Linked DNA regions of Saccharomyces cerevisiae S288C. The protein of the gene in region 1 purifies or fractionates together with the protein of each later gene. This does not show direct contact. Each region holds a gene or a part of one and is shown on either strand. Other genes may lie near its edges.

Region 1 (6,429 bases):
AAACTATATTTCTGACCCGAAGGTATTGTCTTAAAGCTGGCGTGTTTCATAAAGTAAATATTGGTAAAGAAGTTGCCTGCATACAGAGTATTTTCAAAGATACATATTCAATTTAGAACAAGAAATGCAGATTATATTCATCTCTCATGAATGATGTACAATTGTATTGTAACAAGGCTGGGACTTTACAGAGAAAAATAATTCTATAATTAGGAAGCGACCCAATTCAAAGACTAAAAAGTAATTTGAAATGGGGTAAAATGGAATAGAGAGGTTCTGTGGAATGTCATATTATGTAATGTTGTAAAGTTAATGGTGTATATTTTGAGAAGCTATTGGCAGAAGGATTAGCGTTGCTAAGAAAATGTTGGATCACTATCGCAGAGGGTTTAAAGAGAATGATTGGAAAAAAATATCTAATTCACTGAAGCAGAATGGGAACTACTATTTAAAAACATGACGTATATACTAGTAATCTTTCAGTCGATCTGGTTGGAAGTACTATAGCAGAACGAGGTACAAAAGAGTGCACATTTATCTTTCTGTTTTATCTTTTTTTTTTGTTCTTCGAGATTGTCTAACAAAACAAAATAAAAGTATACGGACTAAAAGTAAATAAAAAAATATCTTTCATAATATAAAGATATGCATATATACAAATAGCGGGGAAGTATTTTAAACTTTATAGGCAAAAATCTCTTTAAAAAGCTTTGCACAATGAACAGACGCACCCATTCTTGCACACAAAAGAAAAATGCCACTAAATTTTCTATGTAACGAGTATGTTTCCTCTGGTGGCGGACATAGTCTTTCATTCAACATTAACCCGATATTACCTCTAATCCTGTCTGAGACTGTTTGATCCTTGAAATCGAAAGATTTATCTACATCACCCCTAAAAGGTTCACCAAGTGTAAGTACACTATCGACGTGCGCGTCTTTCATGGACTGCGATTCTAAGCCTGTGAGATAGCCCAGTTGTACAGACATTTCGTACGCCCCTTTCCTATCTCTCAATGTGGCGTAAGTTAAAAGTTTTCTATATTTTAGAATAAAATCTTCTGCAAAAGGTCTGGAGGCACCGAAATCCAATAATTCAATTTTCTTTGTCCTACCGTTATAGAGGAAATTTGCCCAATTAGGATCCGTTTGCATATACTTGAAAGTGGCAATTTCTTCCAGACATAGTCTCATGATATTCTCCGAAATAAAATTTTTGGTTTCTTGTGATGCCTTGGGCAATTTCATTATTTCAGTTCCCTCCATACGTGTCATAGTTATAATATTATCGGTTGTATATTCAGGAAACACATGAGGAACCTCAAACGCTGGGTCATCCTTTAGCAACGCCTCAAACTTTTGTAGAGCTCTAGCCTCTCTGTTGTAATCACATTCCCATTTTAACTCAGTTCTAGCGTTGGCAATTGTCTTATCCAAAAATAATCCCTTCGGTAATAAACTTGAGGCTGTAAGTAACATTAGTAAACTATTCAAATCCGAATCAATGGATTCTTTAACCCCAGGATATTGAATTTTGACAACCACTCTTTGACCACTGGGCAACTCTGCCGCATGTACCTGTCCGATACTAGCAGCTGCCATAGGTATCTTGTCAAATTTGGAAAACTTTGTCTTCCAATTAGCACCTAATTCCTTGGCCATAACCTTTTCCAATTGCCTTTGAGGCATATGATTTGCACTATTCTGTACCCTTGATAAAATTTCGTATAATTCCTTTGGCAACACTTTCTCATCCTGAAAAGACAATAGTTGCCCTATTTTAAGGGCAACACCTCTCATTTTAGAAAATTTATTGGTAATTCTGTCAATATTCGAATCTGATAGAATCAAAGATTTCCAAGTGGGAGAATTGCCCTTTGCAACTTCCGATATGCCTTTTGCTGCGGCATTCATGCCCACCCCTGCTGCCAGTGAGCCATAATGGAACAATCTCGATATTCGTGAAGTTGGTACACTGGAACTTTTTAATGTATCCTTTTTTTCCTCCTCATGCTTCCTTTCTACGTTTTCTTCACCTTCTTTGGCAGATTTTGTAGTATATTTCTTACTCAACGATATTGAAGAAACAGAAGAAATTCTCCCGTTCTGTATAGTTCTTAAGAGACGGGATGAACAATACAATCTCCTTAAATTCCTCAATTTCACCATATTTGTAACCATATCGAACGATATCTTAGCCGAACAGGTCCCAATAAGGATGCCAAGGAAGCGTACTGAGTACAGTACCAGAAAGATCTTAACTAATTAAGATCATCTAAAAAAGTACTGGGTACTATTACAGATCTAAAGCTTTACAAATGAATATTACCCGGATCATAGTTTGCTGACTGATAGTATATAGTTATGGACAAATTTCATCATTTTCCAAACTAAGGTCGTTTAGTTTTACGCTCTGTATTCGTTTGCTGTTTCAACTGACAGTATCATTTCGGAGTCCCATAAATCTACCAGATTGCTTTTTATTGATCTAGCGATCTTATACACAAGTCCTTTTTTATTTCTTTTTCTTTTTTTTCGGTGCCTCTGAAAAATTTTCAAATGCGAGATGAGGTGAAAAGAAACTTATTCAATTGTAATATTTAACACGTTTACGGGGATGCGATTGAGTAACGATAGTATAACCTTATAAACGCGCATAGAAAGATTAGGACTGCAAGAATAATAATGGGTTCCAAAAGAAGATTCTCGTCCGAACACCCGGATCCAGTTGAGACCTCTATTCCTGAGCAGGCCGCCGAGATTGCGGAAGAATTATCCAAACAGCATCCTCTTCCATCCGAAGAGCCACTTGTCCATCATGATGCTGGTGAATTCAAGGGCTTGCAACGTCACCATACTTCAGCAGAAGAGGCCCAAAAACTTGAAGATGGAAAAATAAATCCATTTACCGGTAGGGAGTTTACACCAAAATATGTTGATATCCTGAAAATTAGAAGAGAATTGCCAGTACATGCCCAGAGAGATGAGTTTTTAAAACTTTATCAAAATAACCAGATTATGGTTTTTGTTGGTGAAACAGGTTCCGGTAAAACGACACAAATTCCTCAATTCGTTTTATTCGATGAGATGCCACACTTAGAGAACACTCAAGTTGCATGTACTCAACCTCGTCGTGTCGCAGCAATGTCTGTTGCACAGAGAGTTGCTGAGGAAATGGATGTCAAGTTGGGCGAAGAAGTTGGTTATTCTATCAGATTCGAAAATAAAACTTCTAATAAAACGATATTGAAGTATATGACTGATGGTATGTTGTTGAGAGAGGCAATGGAAGACCATGACTTGTCGCGTTATTCATGTATCATTCTGGATGAAGCGCACGAACGTACACTAGCTACTGATATTTTGATGGGTCTTTTGAAGCAAGTAGTCAAGAGGAGACCTGATTTGAAGATAATTATTATGTCTGCTACTCTGGATGCAGAGAAGTTCCAACGCTACTTCAACGATGCTCCATTACTTGCCGTTCCGGGCAGAACATATCCAGTTGAGCTATACTATACACCGGAATTTCAAAGGGACTATTTAGATTCTGCCATTCGTACTGTTTTGCAAATTCATGCCACTGAAGAGGCTGGCGATATTTTGTTATTTTTAACTGGTGAAGATGAAATTGAAGACGCTGTCAGAAAGATTTCCTTAGAAGGTGATCAATTGGTTAGAGAAGAGGGATGCGGACCTTTATCCGTATACCCACTGTATGGTTCATTACCACCGCATCAACAACAAAGAATATTCGAGCCTGCTCCAGAGTCACATAATGGTAGACCAGGCAGGAAAGTTGTTATCTCCACGAACATCGCTGAAACTTCTTTAACAATTGATGGTATTGTCTACGTCGTTGACCCAGGATTTTCAAAGCAAAAAGTTTACAATCCAAGAATTAGAGTTGAGTCTTTACTTGTTTCCCCTATCTCCAAGGCTTCTGCCCAACAAAGAGCTGGTCGTGCTGGTCGTACAAGGCCTGGTAAATGTTTCAGATTATACACTGAAGAGGCATTCCAAAAGGAACTGATAGAGCAAAGTTACCCAGAAATTTTACGTTCCAATTTATCCTCCACCGTTCTAGAACTAAAAAAATTAGGTATTGATGACTTGGTCCATTTCGATTTTATGGATCCACCGGCTCCGGAAACAATGATGAGAGCCCTTGAAGAACTAAATTATTTGGCATGTCTGGACGACGAAGGTAACTTAACACCCCTAGGTAGATTGGCATCCCAGTTTCCCTTGGATCCTATGCTAGCGGTGATGTTAATTGGGTCCTTTGAGTTCCAATGTTCTCAAGAAATACTAACTATAGTGGCCATGCTATCGGTTCCAAACGTGTTTATTCGCCCAACAAAGGACAAGAAGCGAGCAGATGATGCCAAGAATATCTTTGCTCATCCAGACGGTGATCATATCACCTTACTAAATGTATATCATGCGTTCAAATCGGATGAAGCTTATGAATATGGTATCCATAAGTGGTGCCGTGACCACTATCTAAATTACAGGTCCCTTTCCGCTGCTGATAATATCCGCTCCCAATTAGAAAGATTAATGAACCGTTACAACCTAGAATTAAACACTACAGACTATGAAAGCCCTAAATACTTTGACAACATCAGAAAGGCTCTTGCGTCTGGGTTTTTCATGCAAGTAGCAAAAAAAAGATCGGGAGCTAAAGGATACATCACAGTTAAAGATAACCAAGATGTTCTGATCCATCCTAGTACGGTTCTTGGCCACGACGCAGAATGGGTCATTTACAATGAATTTGTGCTCACATCGAAGAACTACATAAGAACTGTGACCTCGGTCAGGCCCGAATGGCTGATTGAAATAGCGCCTGCATACTACGACTTAAGCAATTTCCAAAAAGGTGATGTCAAATTATCTTTGGAAAGGATCAAGGAAAAAGTTGATAGATTAAACGAGTTGAAACAAGGTAAAAACAAAAAGAAGAGTAAGCACTCCAAGAAATAGACATTTTGTGTCGAAAAAAAAAAAAAAATAGATTTATATAAATTTATAGGACTATTTCATAGAGAGAAAATTCAACTAGAAATAGGTACACGTAACCTAAAGCTGCTTGTACTAAAATCATAGCGCCCTGTATCAAAAAGAAGCTTTTTTCTTTTGTTGGGTATGTCTATATAGAGCACATCCTATATTCCCTTCGAGGTGTTTTTACAAGAACAAATAAAGAAACAAACCGCGGTGTGAGGAAGTTCCCTTAAAAATGGCAAAGATTACCGTAAAGGTAAATTACTCCTTTAACGATGCTTAAAACGAGCATCTTACTCTTGCAACGAAATTAATCACTCAATTTCAACGAGGATGTTGGCTTCCCATCAAAGTAGTTTTGGGGTAAACCGCATATATCTGTATATTAAGAAAACTTATTTTCCACTATCTAATTTGAACTACAGAGAAGATAAGAAATCTTTTAAGTAGCAATCATGTTTTATCTAAGTGACATCGAGGAAGAAGCCTCGGCTGGGGCTGAACCAACTTATAATTTCTGGGAAGTTTTGTTATTCTCCAATACTCAAGAAAACCTCGTCACCGTTGTCGGAGAGTTGCACACACTTACCGATCGTGTGGTTCATTACAAAATTGAGCCTGAATCAAGGGAAGTTACTGCCACAACACTGCCATCTTTGTTAGCACTTTTGCTAGAAAAAAGGAACCAGGCGAGACGTTTATATAGGGATGTGCTTTCAATGAAAATGTCAGAACTGGACTGGGACATCGACGATTTGTTCACACAGTTACAAGAAGAGCTAACAAGAACTGATGACACTCTTTCTATGTATCCTAGGAGAAGGTTCTATCACTAGCTTGCTCAACGCGACCTTATACACAGAGTTTAATGTGAAGAGAACATTCATATACAATTATATAAACATTGTTGTATTCTCGTACATCGTTACACAAAATACGAAGCGGGGAAATAGTGATATTCGCTTCGCTGGTGGCAAATGGGAAAAATACAAAATTTTACACATCTTTCTTCCAAATACTTCCATAAAACATCTAAATATAGTGGTTTCTAATTATCTCTGATCATAAGGAAGTGGAAGTACATCAGAAATGTCTCAAGAACAGTACACAGAAAACTTGAAGGTTATCGTTGCCGAAAAACTGGCTGGTATACCAAACTTTAACGAAGATATCAAGTATGTTGCGGAGTATATTGTCTTATTGATCGTTAACGGTGGTACTGTTGAATCTGTCGTAGACGAGCTGGCTAGTTTGTTTGATAGTGTTTCGAGAGATACGCTTGCAAATGTTGTTCAAACAGCCTTTTTCGCATTAGAAGCTCTGCAACAGGGAGAAAGTGCTGAAAATATTGTTTCCAAAATTAGAATGATGAATGCGCAAAGCTTGGGACAATCGGATATCGCACAACAGCAACAACAG
Region 2 (5,082 bases), 520 kb from region 1:
AATCGATATATAAAACACATTGTATTATAAACTAAGTAACACGTCATCTTCTGCACCTCCCATTGCGACTTCTTTGAGTTCAATCTGTAAGCTAATCGTATGCCGTTTTTCAAACGTGTTTGAGTAGAAAAGTAGCCACCATATGTGCACGGTGAGCACAAAACGTATAGCTCGCATCAGGCGTTCACCAGCCTTGAATTCGGCTCTGTCTCAAGGAAGGATTAGTACTCGGACACGCCGTCGCCGTCTCTTGCAATAAGTCCATGTTCTTGCTCTGGAATAAGGTGAACTCTTTAAGTATTTTCTCTTCTAGGCTCAGTTCTCCGAGTTGTAGGGCAAAATCAACCATGCCACTACTGCCATGATCGCTGCTTGTGCCAGTAGCATCACCTATGAAGCCCTGATCGGCTTGAATATTTGCGAAATGTGCATTCGAAGAAAGATGGTTGAAGTATCCAGACATAATGCTGTATAATGTTGACTATAATCGGTTGTTTTAGCTCTGTGGTATACTACAGATGTGCTAAAATATGCCGAAATCACCACAATATACAATAAATACGATATCATCATGGACGCATGCACGACATATTACAAGGCGGGGGAAAGAAGAAACGGAGCGCCAGAGCCACAACGAGGAAGCGGGTTTGTGGCTCTCACATCACAGCCCGCCCCTACCAAGATCGTAAGCAACGTGTTCAACACGTACCAAAAAACCATAATGGCAAGCCAGCGTTTACCTCACCCGCGGATGACACATCCTGCTCTTACATATGATCGCGGGCTGTCCACAAAAAACAACCTGGAAATACCAAATTTGGCAGCTACCGCGGAGTAGTGGTCATGACGGAGAGAGTTGCCAAAAAGTGACTGACTCGACTCCCCTCACAGCCCGGATCAATTTTTCCATGCGTTTCCACGGAAATCCGAGGTTTGCCGTTAGAGTCCCAAATTGGCGATGGATGATGAGATAATGCGCCCTTATCAATCACGCTAAAAATTGCCCCACGCTGTACTCAACGATCATAGCTGGCTATTGTTATCGTTGGCTTAGATGGTTTCGCCCGTACAAAAATAGACTTGCATATATATAAAGCTTATCTTCGGCCTCAGTCGTCTAAAAAACTATCTTGCCTAACATTATCTTGTCTTCTTTTCGTTCCCTTGAATCATATATAAGAAAAGATAATCAATCATTCGGCTATTTTCTTACAGATACATACATACGTATAATTCATCAATCATAGCATTAATAGAAGATAAAGTATAATGATCGCTACCTCCAGAGCCGTAAACATGAATAAAGAATCAAAACACAAGAAGGCTGTTGCCAAACCATGCAGAGAGAGACAAACTTCAGTTACAAGAGCCATGAGACCAGCTGTAGCACGTGATCCTCGCAGACTTTCGACGTCGTCGTCTCCTTCTTCGTCACCAATGTCAGCACAGAGAAGGCTTTCGAGGGAAGAAATAATAAACGAAATGGAAAAGGAGCAAGACGCTATTGTAGTAAGACTTCTACGGGAAATTGAAACTTTAAAAGAAGAAAACTCTAGGTTAAAAAATCAACTGCACCATCCGGTCCCGGCTAGAAGGTCGTCTCCATTTTTCGAAGGCGAGTCTGCCATCCTAGATGATGATGACTGCAATTATGGTTACACCCTCGACACTCCAAAGCTAAAGCTCACAGATGGTGCATCCAGACACACCGTACTTCCCTTAACACCCAAGGACTCCATGACCCACATTTCCCATTCCGCCAGAAGGTCAAGCCGGAACGCTTCCATATCTAACGGAACAAGCATCTCAGACACGATTTTCCCCATTGAGACTAAAATCCACTCAGCACCAACAACAAACAGAAACCTTCCCTCCGCCGATCTTCCACATCACACTCTTCTTCCACGTTCTCTAAGCGGCATTTCGTCTAGCGATTTAACCGAATCCGGTGCTCTTCTTCATGACAGGAGAAGGCGTTCTTCCAATTACAGTCTCGATGGCTCAAACTCTTTAAAGGCTGATCTCATGGCAAAGAGATTCCAAACTGGTTCATTGAAATAGGCTGTAAGCGAGATACATAAGAAAACAGAGTTTCTCTAAATATATTCTTCCTATTGATCTTTGGCAATCCAACACATATGCAGTTCGTGCACTTGCGTTATAAGCGTGACTTCTCGCTTGGTTTTTTTTTATAATTTTTTTTTAAAACCTCATTCTAAGTACAACTTTGGCGTTTTTCCAAGCTACTACTTATAATTATATGGTTTATTTCATAAATATATATATATATATATATATATATAGAAAATCAATATACATTTAAGCCTTACTGGAGATGACACTATTTTTGTTCACATTTTTTCTTATGCTCTAAATACCTCGGCCTCATACGCAGAGACAGTGTTGATATGTTTTTATACAAAGTAAAGGCAAAGAGAAGGCACAGACAGGATTTCACAGGCAGCTAAGTAATAACGAATATGCTTGCTTCACATATTTTGCCGCCAAATTACACGCTATGGAGCTACGTTCTACTAGTGGTTACTTACCGCTAGCTATTTAAACCCCATCACGTTGATTGTCTATTTCGCTATAGGTTATTTTGCCAAGAAAACTTACTGGGCAATACTTACATCCATTCAGATTTTTGGATAAAGCAATTGAAGAAAGACGACAGCAATTCGACTGGTGGTTGTTAATTACCCTTTGATCCTCTGATTTAAAGACGTAATCCTTCCTGGGGGTAAGTGCCTGATGTATGGGTCCCCATGCCCTTTTTTTTCGTTTCTTTTTTCACTCCATTTCTTTTTTTTTTTTTTTTTTTGGTGAAAAATTTGCAAGGGCAGCTCATCGCAAGAACGAAAATTTTCAATCCAATATTAAAAGTACTTAAGTGTAGCTGTTGCTGTCTGCACTTCCCAATCCATTGGTACCTTAAGTTATTTCCTTTCGTAGTATTTTTCTTACTTTTGCTTCCCAAAGACGAACTGTTAACCAATTTCGGATCACTCAACCCAGGCAGGATAAAATAAGATGGCTAAGACTACTAAAGTAAAAGGTAACAAGAAGGAAGTTAAGGCTTCCAAACAAGCCAAAGAAGAAAAAGCTAAGGCCGTCTCTTCCTCTTCCTCCGAATCTTCATCCTCATCTTCATCTTCATCTGAATCTGAATCTGAGTCTGAGTCTGAATCTGAATCTTCATCTTCATCTTCATCCTCTGATTCTGAATCCTCTTCTTCATCGTCTTCTGACAGCGAAAGTGAAGCTGAAACCAAGAAGGAAGAATCCAAGGATTCCTCTTCCTCTTCCTCTGACTCTTCTTCCGACGAAGAAGAAGAAGAAGAAAAAGAAGAAACCAAGAAGGAAGAATCAAAAGAATCTTCTAGCTCTGATTCATCCTCATCTTCATCTTCTGATAGCGAAAGCGAAAAGGAAGAGTCTAACGATAAGAAACGTAAATCTGAGGACGCCGAAGAAGAAGAAGACGAAGAGTCTTCCAACAAGAAGCAAAAAAATGAAGAAACCGAAGAACCAGCTACTATTTTCGTTGGTAGACTATCGTGGTCTATTGATGACGAATGGTTGAAGAAGGAATTCGAACACATCGGTGGTGTCATTGGTGCCAGAGTTATTTATGAAAGAGGTACCGATAGATCTCGTGGTTATGGTTACGTTGATTTTGAAAACAAATCTTATGCTGAAAAGGCCATTCAAGAAATGCAAGGTAAGGAAATTGATGGTAGACCAATCAACTGTGATATGTCCACAAGCAAGCCAGCTGGTAACAACGATCGTGCCAAGAAATTCGGTGATACCCCATCTGAACCATCTGACACTTTGTTCTTGGGTAACTTATCTTTCAATGCTGACAGAGACGCTATTTTCGAATTATTCGCTAAACACGGTGAAGTTGTTTCCGTCCGTATCCCAACACATCCAGAAACTGAACAACCAAAAGGTTTCGGTTATGTTCAATTCTCCAACATGGAGGACGCCAAGAAGGCTCTAGACGCTTTACAAGGTGAATACATTGACAACAGACCAGTTAGATTAGACTTCTCTTCTCCAAGACCAAACAACGATGGTGGTCGTGGCGGTAGCCGTGGTTTTGGTGGTCGTGGCGGTGGTCGTGGCGGTAACCGTGGATTCGGTGGTCGTGGTGGCGCTCGCGGTGGCCGTGGCGGTTTCAGACCATCTGGTTCTGGTGCTAATACTGCTCCATTGGGCAGATCAAGAAATACCGCTTCTTTCGCTGGTTCAAAGAAAACATTTGATTAATGAGAAAATGAAATGAATTTCAATTTCAATTTTTTCTCTTTTTACGTTAATTACTATATTCCATTTTTGAGGAAAAATTTGGTCTATAATATTTTGTGTACATTAGTAAGTAAATAGGATACATTCTTAAACCTTTCATTCACCATCTCTATTTGCCAACTTTTCTTCGAATGGCTTACTCTTTTTTTTTTCACGATGAGATGAGATCGCTAGATACGGAAGATTACAAGGCCTTGGAAAATACTCAAAAAATTTCAGTAATATGAAATGAATATCTAAATAAAAGCTTGGGCGTTGTGCTTGATTGAGCCACGAAAACTTCCTTTAAGGATTAGCACATACTCCACTTAAAAGTAGGAACATACTCACATTAAGGTGTTATCAGAATAAATGAATGTTCAAGACAGAAGGAGGTTATTAGGCCCTGCTGCTGCCAAGCCAATGGCGTTTAGCAACACTACTACTCATGTGCCAGAAAAGAAATCAACAGATTTGACACCTAAAGGCAATGAAAGTGAACAGGAACTTTCTCTACATACCGGTTTCATCGAAAACTGCAATGGATCTGCATTAGTAGAAGCTAGAAGCTTAGGACACCAAACATCGCTCATTACCGCTGTCTATGGACCACGCTCCATTAGAGGATCCTTCACATCTCAAGGTACTATATCTATTCAGTTAAAGAACGGTCTTCTGGAAAAATATAACACAAATGAACTGAAGGAAGTTAGCAGCTTTTTAATGGGCATTTTCAATTCAGTAGTAAACCTATCTCGCTACCCCAAGTCCGGCATCGATATCTTC
Region 3 (5,003 bases), on another chromosome or scaffold:
GAAAAAAAGTAGTCAAAATACATACTATCAAAGTAAGGGCATTGGTGAAATACTGCGAGGCTGGCCTTTTCCGCAAATATCTGGGGCAGCGAAGCGAAGGGGCCCGATAGGAACTTTTGGGGCGGGAGCCCTTGCATTGACATGGTTAAGGTTTTACATCCATCATTCTCCCCCTCTCTTGTGGTTTAAAAAAATAAAAGGTGGCCGATTTTTATGTAATATAGAAACGACTTCTGTCCTTCTGTCCTCTGTATTACCTAATTTTCTTTCTCTTGATGGTATTTAACTTTCTAAGCATTATAAGATAATATTAAAGGGAAAGTGTTTCTAGAATGCAATCGAGCTTACCTCAATTTACGTTCAAATGGCCCAAAGGACCCGAAGCAATTATTCTGACAGGCACGTTCGACGACTGGAAAGGTACTTTGCCGATGGTGAAGGACCCCAGTGGCGCCTTCGAAATAACGCTGCCAGTAACGTTTGATAGCCCTAGCAGCAAGTTTTATTTCAAGTTTATTGTTGATGGCCAATGGCTGCCAAGCAAAGACTACAAGGTGAACATCGACGAGGGAGTGGAAAACAACTTTATTACCGAGGAAGACGTAATAAAGCAACGCGAAAATGGCTCTAGCACGCTGGTACCTGAAAGTGCCGGATTAGCTGTTTCAAAGAATGCCCCTCTTATCGAACCAGAAGCTGAAAAACGTGCAAAAAAATTAAGAAAGTTCAAGATCAAGAGAGTGATCAAGACAAATAAACAAACCGGAGAAAGGTCGATATTTTCCCAAGAAGTGGTTGAATTGCCCGATAGCGAGGATGAAACCCAGCAGGTGAACAAAACGGGCAAGAATGCGGATGGCTTAAGCGGTACTACAACGATAATTGAGAATAATGTTGGTGTAAACGAGGAAAAAGCAATCAAGCCGTATGAAGAGAATCACCCCAAAGTTAATCTAGTTAAGAGTGAAGGATATGTTACGGACGGTTTGGGTAAGACGCAATCTTCTGAGTCTAGATTATATGAACTATCGGCCGAAGATCTTGAAAAGGAAGAAGAGGAAGAGGACGAAGATAAAGGCGGCGGTAAGGACACCAGTACAAGTGCAGACGCTGAAGCTTCAGAAGATCAAAATAAGGAACCATTAAGTAAATCCGCTAAATTTGAAAAACCGGAAGAAAAAGTACCTGTAAGCTCAATTACAAGCCATGCTAAAGAGACTTCTGTGAAACCAACCGGCAAGGTTGCGACTGAGACTCAAACTTACGAGACGAAACAGGGCGCTCCTACCGCTGCCGCAAAAAAAATCGAAGCTAAGAAAGCTACTAGACCTTCGAAACCTAAGGGCACGAAAGAAACACCAAATAAAGGTGTCCAAAAGAACCCTGCTAAGAATGGAGGGTTCTTTAAAAAGTTGGCCCAGCTTTTGAAGTGAAAACAATCAGGAGAATACCTAAATATATGACGTACTCGCCATACCTAACTATGTAAAACCTAATTATGTATTAATAACAATACCATGTTGTATGTAAACTCTGATGTAGGATCGCACTTTTGCCGAAAGCACATGCTTGTCTTTGTATTTCGCTTGTACGCCTTTGCTCAGAAAATTCTGTAGGAGTCACGTTTCCCGTTGAAATGCAAAAACCTGAAATTTTTCAGTCTGAAAGAAAAAATTGCGATGAGCATAGATGATAAATTTAACCATACAACAAAGAGAAATCCTTTTCCCCACAGAACATTACCTAAACCCAACAACTTTCTATAATTTGAGATAGAATGTCAGAAACAGAACTGTCGAAAGAAGATGCTGTTACAAAAAAGGATAACGAGGAACAAGTCAAGAAGGCTTTACTCGATCCAACAAAAAAGAGAAAAGCTGAAGATGAAATTGAGATTGACCTGAAAAGCTCCATTCCCCTATCAAAAAAACAGAAACGTCTCTTGAGAAGAGGTAAAGTTACTCTAGAGGAGTTGAATGCGAAGTACAATATCGACCCTAAGTCAATCGAGGAATACAAAGAAGATGCTGAAAAGAAAAAGTCTGGTGCTTCTGAGAAAGACGCCCAGGGTGAAGAATCTACAATCAACACTCCAACAGGAGATGAATCTGGCGAGGTTGTAAAAAAGAAGAAGAAAGATGAAAATAAATATGGTGTTTGGATTGGTAACTTATCCTTCGACACCACAAAGGACGATTTAGTAAGATTTTTTATTGCTAAAACAAAAGACAACGAAGATGAAAAGAGCAGAGTCACCGAACAAGACATAACCAGGTTATCCATGCCTCGTGTTGCTGCCAAGAACTCTAACGCCATGAAAAATAAGGGATTTTGCTACATGTTTTTCAAGAACGTCGAGCAGATGAAAGCGGTCTTAGAATTATCTGAATCTCATTTAAACGGAAGGAATATGCTAATCAAGGACTCCGAAAATTATTCAGGTAGGCCAGACAAGGACGATTTAGTTGCCATGTCCAAAAATCCACCGTCAAGGATTCTATTTGTCGGTAATTTGTCATTCGATGTCACAGATGATCTGTTAAGAAAACACTTCCAACATTGTGGTGATATCGTGAAAATCCGCATGGCAACATTCGAAGATAGTGGTAAATGTAAAGGATTCGCATTTATCGACTTCAAGAATGAAGAAGGATCTACTAATGCATTAAAGGATAAAAGTTGTAGAAAAATTGCCGGAAGGCCATTGCGAATGGAATACGGTGAAGATAGAAGTAAAAGACAAGTTCGTAAGAAGGTTGAAAATGTATCCAGAAACAATTCCTCATCATTTGATATCTCTAACAACAAAGGATACGATCGTGCGGGACAGGATAACGGCAGCAAACCCGAATACAAGCGGTCCAACGCCAACAGACGTCCACCTGTAGATTCCAATAACCGAACTAAGAGCAGTGTAGCTTTAGCCACTGCTCAGAGAGGTTCTGCAGCTATTGTCCCATCACAAGGTAAGAAAGTGAAGTTTGACTAATCAGCGTGAACTGACTGTAGGTGCCACGTATATAATGCGATTATTTCGCTTGTAAATTATTCAATCATTCATGTTTTATATATACATTGTATAACCAATTGCTGCTATTTTTATTTTTTCCATTATTGCTTATCAAGGCACGGGGAGAACGCACGGAAAAAAAAAAAAAAAAGAAGAAAGAAATGAGGTAAACAAGATCTTTAGGAGCGGTTCGCATATTAGTAATACACTGATAATCGCCGTACACTCATAAAATCCTAAACTACTCACCAGGTACCGAAACACTACTGATCCGTTTTTTGGACTGGTTGTTGGCACACTTTCGCTTAAGACACACATTTAGTATTTCAATCCCCATCCGTCGATATCTGAAGGAAATCTAAAAGAAAAGCTGGATAGAGTAATTATTTTGGCCATCGTATGAACTCCAATAGTACCATCGGAAGGACCACCCTTGGAGAATCTGATACGATATCCCTGTCATTCAGTGAACCAAGTAGCAGTCTGAATTCACGATCAACGGATGTTGTCTTCGCATCTACTTCAACTTTAGTACCCCAACAAGGAAGTCTGACCTCATTACCGCCCGTGTCTAGTACAGCTACTCCTACATATTATTCTACAAGCTTAACATATGATGAGACTTTGCATACATCCATTGATGTATCTTCGACAAGTACTTTAGTATCATCTACCGACAGCAGTTCATCGAGCGAGCAAGATACGTATAGTTCCCAATATGACCCAGCTACCTCCTCATACTCAATAATTACACCATCCATGTCCATTTTCTCATCGACGTCACCAATGTCATCATCGTCGTCAATAACGTCGGAATGGTCATCGTTAACATCAACAACACCAACGTTATCGTCATCAGCTACATCGCTGTCATCATCATGGTCGTCGTTATCATCACCATCTTCGTTACTGGTATCGTCCTCGTTGTCATTATCACTATCTTCATCATATTCAGACACTAAATTGTTTTCGTTCGACAGCAGATCTTCTATTTTCTCACCATCAACACCCACCGTAATATCCCCTAGTTACACATACTTGTCTTCCATATCTGCAACTTCATTTCAAATTAGTACCACTTCAGAACTCTCTTCTAGTTGGTTCTCAACAATTTCTTCTCCTTCTACGATATCAAATAAAGATACCACATTCCCAAGTTCCAGTCGGAATACTTCCACATCGTTTTACAGTTCATCGCTTTCATCGACGAACGATTTTTCAACCATAAGCAAATCATCGAAACTCAGTCCATCAGCTTCATCTTCGACAGTTTCCATAAGCACGATTTCCGTGCCAACGTCAAGTTCTGTTAGCTCATCCAGCAGTAAAGTACCTTCAAACCGTCCTTCATCATCATCATCATCAGATGATACAACAAGTGCTTACTCAAGCACGTATACTTTTCAGTCCTTACAATCTACTACTAGCAGCAGTATACCACCCACCACTCAAACACCCAGCACTAGTACGATTTCTACGTCTCCCATACCAACATCCAGTCAGGTCTTCAATACGGTAGCCATTTCAAGCTCCGAAGATTCAAAAACTATTTATTATTTCTATACCCAAACATATGATATTACTGACTCCTCTACAACGTTCGTGACGGGATTACCTACGACCATAGCAGTTGCAAAAAGTGAGGTAACCTCATTTTCCGCTCCATCTTCGACGATCACAGCTGACATGTCTTTCTATCAGCACTGGCTTGATGGCAGTTTGGATAATAACAAAAACCAAGGCACTTCAAAGACAAATACTGGTACCATTGTTGGAAGTGTGGTAGGAAGCGTCGGTGGTATTCTTATATGTGTACTAGTAGTTTGGTTCATGCTGGTTAGAAAAAGGAAGGCAAAGAGGCATTTCAAGGAAAACGATTCCTTCTGTCACGAGATTGGGCGCAGAACGGGATTCCCAACAACTGCCCAAGCAAAAGAGGCGTCACTTCAAGCTCAAGACTCGGGATCACAGCAACGAAACACCGAGACTGCTT
Region 4 (6,282 bases), on another chromosome or scaffold:
CTACGGGCTTAGGAGGCGGTTCAGGTACGGCAACTCAATCCGTGCCTGCTTCGGAAGCCACCATGGACTGTCAACAATACGGGACATTTTCCACTTCGGGCTCTTCTACATTTAGATCAAACAACACCTATTTCAGTATTAGCTACGGTGATGGGACTTTTGCCTCCGGTACTTTTGGTACGGATGTTTTGGATTTAAGCGACTTGAACGTTACCGGGTTGTCTTTTGCCGTTGCCAATGAAACGAATTCTACTATGGGTGTGTTAGGTATTGGTTTGCCCGAATTAGAAGTCACTTATTCTGGCTCTACTGCGTCTCATAGTGGAAAAGCTTATAAATACGACAACTTCCCCATTGTATTGAAAAATTCTGGTGCTATCAAAAGCAACACATATTCTTTGTATTTGAACGACTCGGACGCTATGCATGGCACCATTTTGTTCGGAGCCGTGGACCACAGTAAATATACCGGCACCTTATACACAATCCCCATCGTAAACACTCTGAGTGCTAGTGGATTTAGCTCTCCCATTCAATTTGATGTCACTATTAATGGTATCGGTATTAGTGATTCTGGGAGTAGTAACAAGACCTTGACTACCACTAAAATACCTGCTTTGTTGGATTCCGGTACTACTTTGACTTATTTACCTCAAACAGTGGTAAGTATGATCGCTACTGAACTAGGTGCGCAATACTCTTCCAGGATAGGGTATTACGTATTGGACTGTCCATCTGATGATAGTATGGAAATAGTGTTCGATTTTGGTGGTTTTCACATCAATGCACCACTTTCGAGTTTTATCTTGAGTACTGGCACTACATGTCTTTTAGGTATTATCCCAACGAGTGATGACACAGGTACCATTTTGGGTGATTCATTTTTGACTAACGCGTACGTGGTTTATGATTTGGAGAATCTTGAAATATCCATGGCACAAGCTCGCTATAATACCACAAGCGAAAATATCGAAATTATTACATCCTCTGTTCCAAGCGCCGTAAAGGCACCAGGCTATACAAACACTTGGTCCACAAGTGCATCTATTGTTACCGGTGGTAACATATTTACTGTAAATTCCTCACAAACTGCTTCCTTTAGCGGTAACCTGACGACCAGTACTGCATCCGCCACTTCTACATCAAGTAAAAGAAATGTTGGTGATCATATAGTTCCATCTTTACCCCTCACATTAATTTCTCTTCTTTTTGCATTCATCTGAAAACCGTTGCACAAAGTTTAGACATTCACATCTCCAAGCCAGTTGGAGTTTCTGGCGGAAATCGTTGCTCTCGCTTGGGCAAAGTTTTTTTTTATTATTAATTTTTTATTGTTACGTTGGCGGTCTTCATTTTTACTTCACAATAGTTTATCTTACCCACTAAGAATAGGTTACCATTTATTCACATTTTTTTTTCTCATTCCTAGTATACTATTTACCTGGGATATGGCCTATAATCAAAGGCTTTAATATTCTAATAATTCGTTTGGCATCTAGAATAATCTATAAAGTATAGTCTATATACGTACATATTGATAATGGCGGTAGCTGCTGAACTAGTATTTCAAATTACCTTGTTTATCCCAGGTCGCCAGTTTCTCTCTCCTCAAGTGATATTGTGTTCGTATGTCCAGATAATTTTTGATGAACTGATCCAGGTCATCGGCTGAGTCAATGGACCTTGTGGTAGTTTCTAGCTGTGAACTCTCCTCATCAAGTTTCTTTGTGTTTTGTTCTAATTTCTTTTTTAATGCTATGTCACCATATTTTTTTGAAAATTCGGAATGGTAATCTTGCCAGCTAGCTACATATTTGGATTCTAAAATCCTACAGTTTTCTAATAAGGCTTGGACCTTATCTTTTTGCTCATGTAAATCTTCAAAATTTTCTTCCAATTGTTTAAATTGATCTCTGAATGCATGAATCTTTCCAGCAAAGTCCGTTAAGGGATTGAATTTTGTGACGTATAACTCTAATTGGTGTCTGTGGGTTTGAATTAGATCGATTATCTCCTTTGATGATAAAAGGTTAATTCCTTCAGGTAAGGGAATATTTTTGCTTTTTTCGTTTACTTTTTCTGGTAAACCCGGAGATGGTACCACATCCATTTCTGCTCTGATAATATCTAATCTGCTTATATTGAGCCCCTTATTTTTCCTTCGTTGTTTTATCCTTAGTTTTGTAGCCTTTACTTTCATATTTCCTTCTTTTCAGAACGCCTATTCTAGGGAAAAATGGCTTCTGTATGAAATAAAAATGTTAGCAAAAGAGAACGAAAATAAGAACACATACACTATATTTGCCCATTTGAGCGCTATCGAATATGAATGGACTTAGAGTTGCAGCAAAAATTCAGCCAGCACGCCAAACTATCATATTCTTGCATGGATTAGGTGATACAGGTTCGGGATGGGGATTTTTAGCTCAGTATTTACAACAGAGAGACCCTGCCGCTTTCCAGCATACTAATTTTGTTTTTCCTAATGCTCCAGAGCTTCATGTGACAGCAAACGGCGGTGCATTGATGCCTGCTTGGTTTGACATCTTGGAATGGGATCCTAGTTTTTCCAAAGTTGACAGTGACGGTTTTATGAATTCTTTGAATTCCATAGAAAAGACGGTTAAGCAAGAAATTGATAAAGGAATTAAACCGGAGCAGATTATTATCGGAGGTTTCTCTCAGGGTGCCGCATTAGCTCTCGCAACATCAGTTACTTTACCATGGAAAATCGGTGGTATAGTAGCTCTGTCGGGATTTTGTTCCATCCCAGGAATTCTGAAACAACATAAGAATGGCATTAATGTAAAGACACCAATTTTTCATGGGCATGGTGACATGGATCCAGTAGTTCCTATTGGACTAGGTATAAAGGCAAAACAGTTCTATCAAGATAGCTGTGAGATACAAAATTATGAATTTAAAGTATACAAAGGTATGGCCCATTCTACAGTTCCAGATGAATTAGAAGACTTGGCTTCATTTATCAAGAAGAGCTTATCATCATAGCTCTTTTCCTAATATTGCGAGTTCAATTTAACCGCTATTATACTTGGTTAAATAATTTATATACATCCGTAAGACGCGATAGAAAATTAAAAACCTTGGTGCCAAATAGTTGGGGTGATGAGACTCATTGATTATGCAAGTTCATAATAGATAGACAAACTTGAGCTAAAAGTACTCTACTATTGCCAGCATGGACACTTTAGAGCCAACAGCCGTTGATACGCATGTTTCTGCGGAGCAGATTCTGCGGGATGTGTACAAGAAGGGGCAAAAAGCAAGAGGATCGACTAATATTGATATATTAGACTTGGAGGAACTTCGAGAGTATCAACGAAGGAAGAGAACAGAATATGAGGGTTATTTGAAGAGAAACCGACTGGATATGGGACAATGGATTCGTTATGCGCAATTCGAAATCGAACAACACGACATGAGGCGCGCCAGATCTATCTTTGAAAGAGCATTATTAGTAGATAGTTCATTCATCCCCCTTTGGATACGATACATTGATGCTGAGCTGAAAGTCAAATGTATTAACCATGCTAGGAATCTTATGAACAGAGCTATTAGTACGTTGCCCAGAGTAGACAAGTTATGGTACAAGTATCTCATTGTCGAAGAGTCGTTAAACAACGTTGAAATTGTACGATCACTGTACACCAAATGGTGCTCCTTGGAGCCAGGGGTTAATGCATGGAATTCTTTCGTGGATTTTGAAATAAGACAGAAAAACTGGAACGGTGTAAGAGAGATTTACTCAAAATACGTCATGGCTCACCCGCAAATGCAGACATGGCTAAAGTGGGTGAGGTTTGAAAATAGACATGGTAATACTGAATTTACGAGAAGTGTGTATTCTTTAGCGATAGACACAGTAGCTAACCTCCAAAATTTACAGATTTGGTCTGATATGGAGGTTGCAAAATTAGTAAATTCATTTGCTCATTGGGAAGCTGCGCAGCAAGAATACGAAAGATCTAGTGCTCTTTATCAAATTGCTATAGAAAAATGGCCCTCCAATCAATTGCTCAAGGCAGGACTGTTGGATTTTGAAAAGCAGTTTGGTGACATAAACTCAATAGAAGAAACTATTAGCTATAAAAGGAAAATGGAGTATGAAACAATATTGAGTAATAACGCCTATGATTATGACACCTGGTGGCTGTACTTGGATCTCATTTCAGAAAGTTTCCCCAAACAAATAATGCAAACTTTCGAGAAAGCTATTGTGGACAGCCGACCAAAAGAACTATCAAAAAATGTTCAGTGGAAAAGGTATATTTATCTGTGGATGAGATATATATGCTATGTTGAGTTAGAATTGGAAAATTCGCTTTTAGAAGAAGAACTTTTTCAGAGGTTAATTGACGACATCATCCCTCATAAACATTTCACTTTTTCCAAAATATGGCTAATGTATGCTAAATTTCTGATACGACATGATGATGTACCGAAGGCGAGAAAAATTTTGGGTAAAGCAATCGGTTTATGTCCTAAGGCTAAAACTTTCAAAGGATATATCGAGTTGGAAGTGAAGTTGAAGGAATTTGATCGTGTGAGAAAAATATATGAGAAATTTATTGAATTTCAGCCCTCTGATCTACAAATTTGGTCACAATATGGAGAACTAGAAGAAAATTTAGGAGATTGGGATAGAGTAAGAGGTATATATACAATTGCACTAGATGAAAATTCTGATTTCTTAACAAAGGAGGCTAAAATTGTATTACTTCAAAAATACATAACATTTGAGACAGAATCACAAGAATTTGAAAAGGCAAGGAAGCTTTATAGAAGATATTTGGAGCTCAACCAATATTCCCCCCAAAGCTGGATCGAATTCGCCATGTATCAAACTTCAACCCCGACGGAGCAACAACTATTAGATTTAGCAAAACTGCAAAGCGAAAATGTGGATGAAGACATAGAGTTTGAAATTACCGATGAGAATAAATTGGAGGCAAGAAAAGTTTTTGAAGAGGCGATAGTTTTTTTCAAGGAGAAGGATGATAAACAAGGGAGACTGTCTATTTTGGAAGCGCTAAAAGACTATGAAGAAACTTACGGTACTGAACTCGATCAAGAAACCGTCAAGAAAAGATTCCCTAAAGTAATCAAAAAAGTGAGGTTACAGAACGGTGTGGAAGAAGAATTCGTGGATTACATTTTTCCTGATGATATCGATGATGACAAGCCAAAACCATCAAAGTTCTTGGAACTAGCCAAAAAATGGAAACAGGAACAGGCACTTTGAATAAAGGTAAGGGTATCGTGAAATAATATTTTTGTCATTGTAGTTCAGGCCGTAGAAACTAAACAGTAGTAGAATAAGCTAGTAAGTAAATTAAATATCAAAAGTTAATAATAACCAGGAAGGCAAAAAACCAACAAAAAAAGGAACTATGCAAAATAGAGACTACATACCTTCAACACAAATAAAAAAAAATGCAGATATTGTATAATGGGAGTGTATTATAATCCGGGAGGCCCTTGCAGTCCCGGAGGTGTAGGTTTGTTAATGTCATTGCCCATGTTATTAGAAAACCCTGGAGGACCGCTTAGGCCAGGAGGAGGTGCAATTGAGGATTGTACCGTAGTCATACCGGGAGGTGGAGGTAGCGAAAATTTCGGTTGTTCCGACTCTGGAGGGCTTTGTAATGGGGGAGGGGCGATTCCTGGAACTCCGGAACTAAAGCTACTTGATGTTAGGCCGGGAGGGGGTGTAGGCGTCACGTTTTGAGCTTGCCTCGAAATATGTGACGCAGGAGGTGAAGGTGATGGTGCATAACGTGAAGAAGCCGGAAATTTTAAAGGAGGTTCCGTCGAGTTATTGTCATAACGAGATCTTTTTGGTGCTTGAATTGGATGAGTATTGCTATTATAGTGTACGTCATTGCTCTGTATTGGCGCAGAATTATTTACCGTGGCGTTTCTGTCAAAACGGCTCATTCTTTGAGACGATGAGTTACAGTCTCTACTGAAATGTCCAGTTTGTCCACATATTTTGCAAACAATGCCCTGTATATTTGGGATTTTTCTGTTTGGACAATCGTACCTTTTATGATCTTTTAAACCACAGATTGGACAGGGCCTGTTATCTTCTCTTAAAGTACCATTAAGTTCCGCCAATTCTCTCAGTTGTCCTCGTTTCAAGTCATTCTGGCCTTCCGGAGATGTCACCGCTTTGATAACAATGTTTTGACAAACTTTTATACCTTTTTGGATCTTGTCTTCCGAGTCTGCGATAATTAAACAGTGCAAGGGGTCCTCAAA

Evidence for each region.
Region 2: the proteins of PRP43 (region 1) and NSR1 purify together in Saccharomyces cerevisiae (affinity purification with mass spectrometry, with the first as the bait; one study listed by BioGRID). This does not show direct contact.
Region 3: the proteins of PRP43 (region 1) and NOP13 purify together in Saccharomyces cerevisiae (affinity purification with mass spectrometry, with the first as the bait; one study listed by BioGRID). This does not show direct contact.
Region 4: the proteins of PRP43 (region 1) and CLF1 purify together in Saccharomyces cerevisiae (affinity purification with mass spectrometry, with the first as the bait; 3 studies listed by BioGRID). This does not show direct contact.

Annotation. Positions count from the first base shown.
Region 1 is NC_001139.9:280,194-286,622, reverse strand, and holds PRP43 (DEAH-box ATP-dependent RNA helicase PRP43), read left to right. Parts: upstream 1-2,685; coding exon 2,686-4,989; downstream 4,990-6,429. Other genes in the region: protein kinase COQ8, read right to left, coding at 676-2,181; GPG1 (Gpg1p), read left to right, coding at 5,466-5,846; mRNA-binding protein NAB2, read left to right, coding at 6,100-6,429. UniProt on the Saccharomyces cerevisiae protein: Pre-mRNA processing factor involved in disassembly of spliceosomes after the release of mature mRNA.
Region 2 is NC_001139.9:805,608-810,689, reverse strand, and holds NSR1 (Nsr1p), read left to right. Parts: upstream 1-3,033; coding exon 3,034-4,278; downstream 4,279-5,082. Other genes in the region: YGR161W-C (uncharacterized protein), read right to left, coding at 185-463; RTS3 (Rts3p), read left to right, coding at 1,270-2,061; exosome non-catalytic core subunit MTR3, read left to right, coding at 4,669-5,082. UniProt on the Saccharomyces cerevisiae protein: Involved in pre-rRNA processing. Specifically binds nuclear localization sequences. Candidate for a receptor at the nucleus that may be involved in both RNA and protein transport. Binds telomeric sequences of the type (TG[1-3])n in vitro.
Region 3 is NC_001146.8:305,387-310,389, reverse strand, and holds NOP13 (Nop13p), read left to right. Parts: upstream 1-1,777; coding exon 1,778-2,989; downstream 2,990-5,003. Other genes in the region: MDG1 (Mdg1p), read left to right, coding at 333-1,433; TDA7 (Tda7p), read left to right, coding at 3,410-5,003.
Region 4 is NC_001144.5:381,452-387,733, reverse strand, and holds CLF1 (Clf1p), read left to right. Parts: upstream 1-3,199; coding exon 3,200-5,263; downstream 5,264-6,282. Other genes in the region: YPS1 (aspartyl protease), read left to right, coding at 1-1,223; ESCRT-I subunit protein SRN2, read right to left, coding at 1,559-2,200; TML25 (palmitoyl-(protein) hydrolase), read left to right, coding at 2,326-3,009; mRNA splicing protein MSL5, read right to left, coding at 5,482-6,282. UniProt on the Saccharomyces cerevisiae protein: Involved in pre-mRNA splicing and cell cycle progression. Required for the spliceosome assembly by promoting the functional integration of the U4/U6.U5 tri-snRNP particle into the U1-, U2-dependent pre-spliceosome.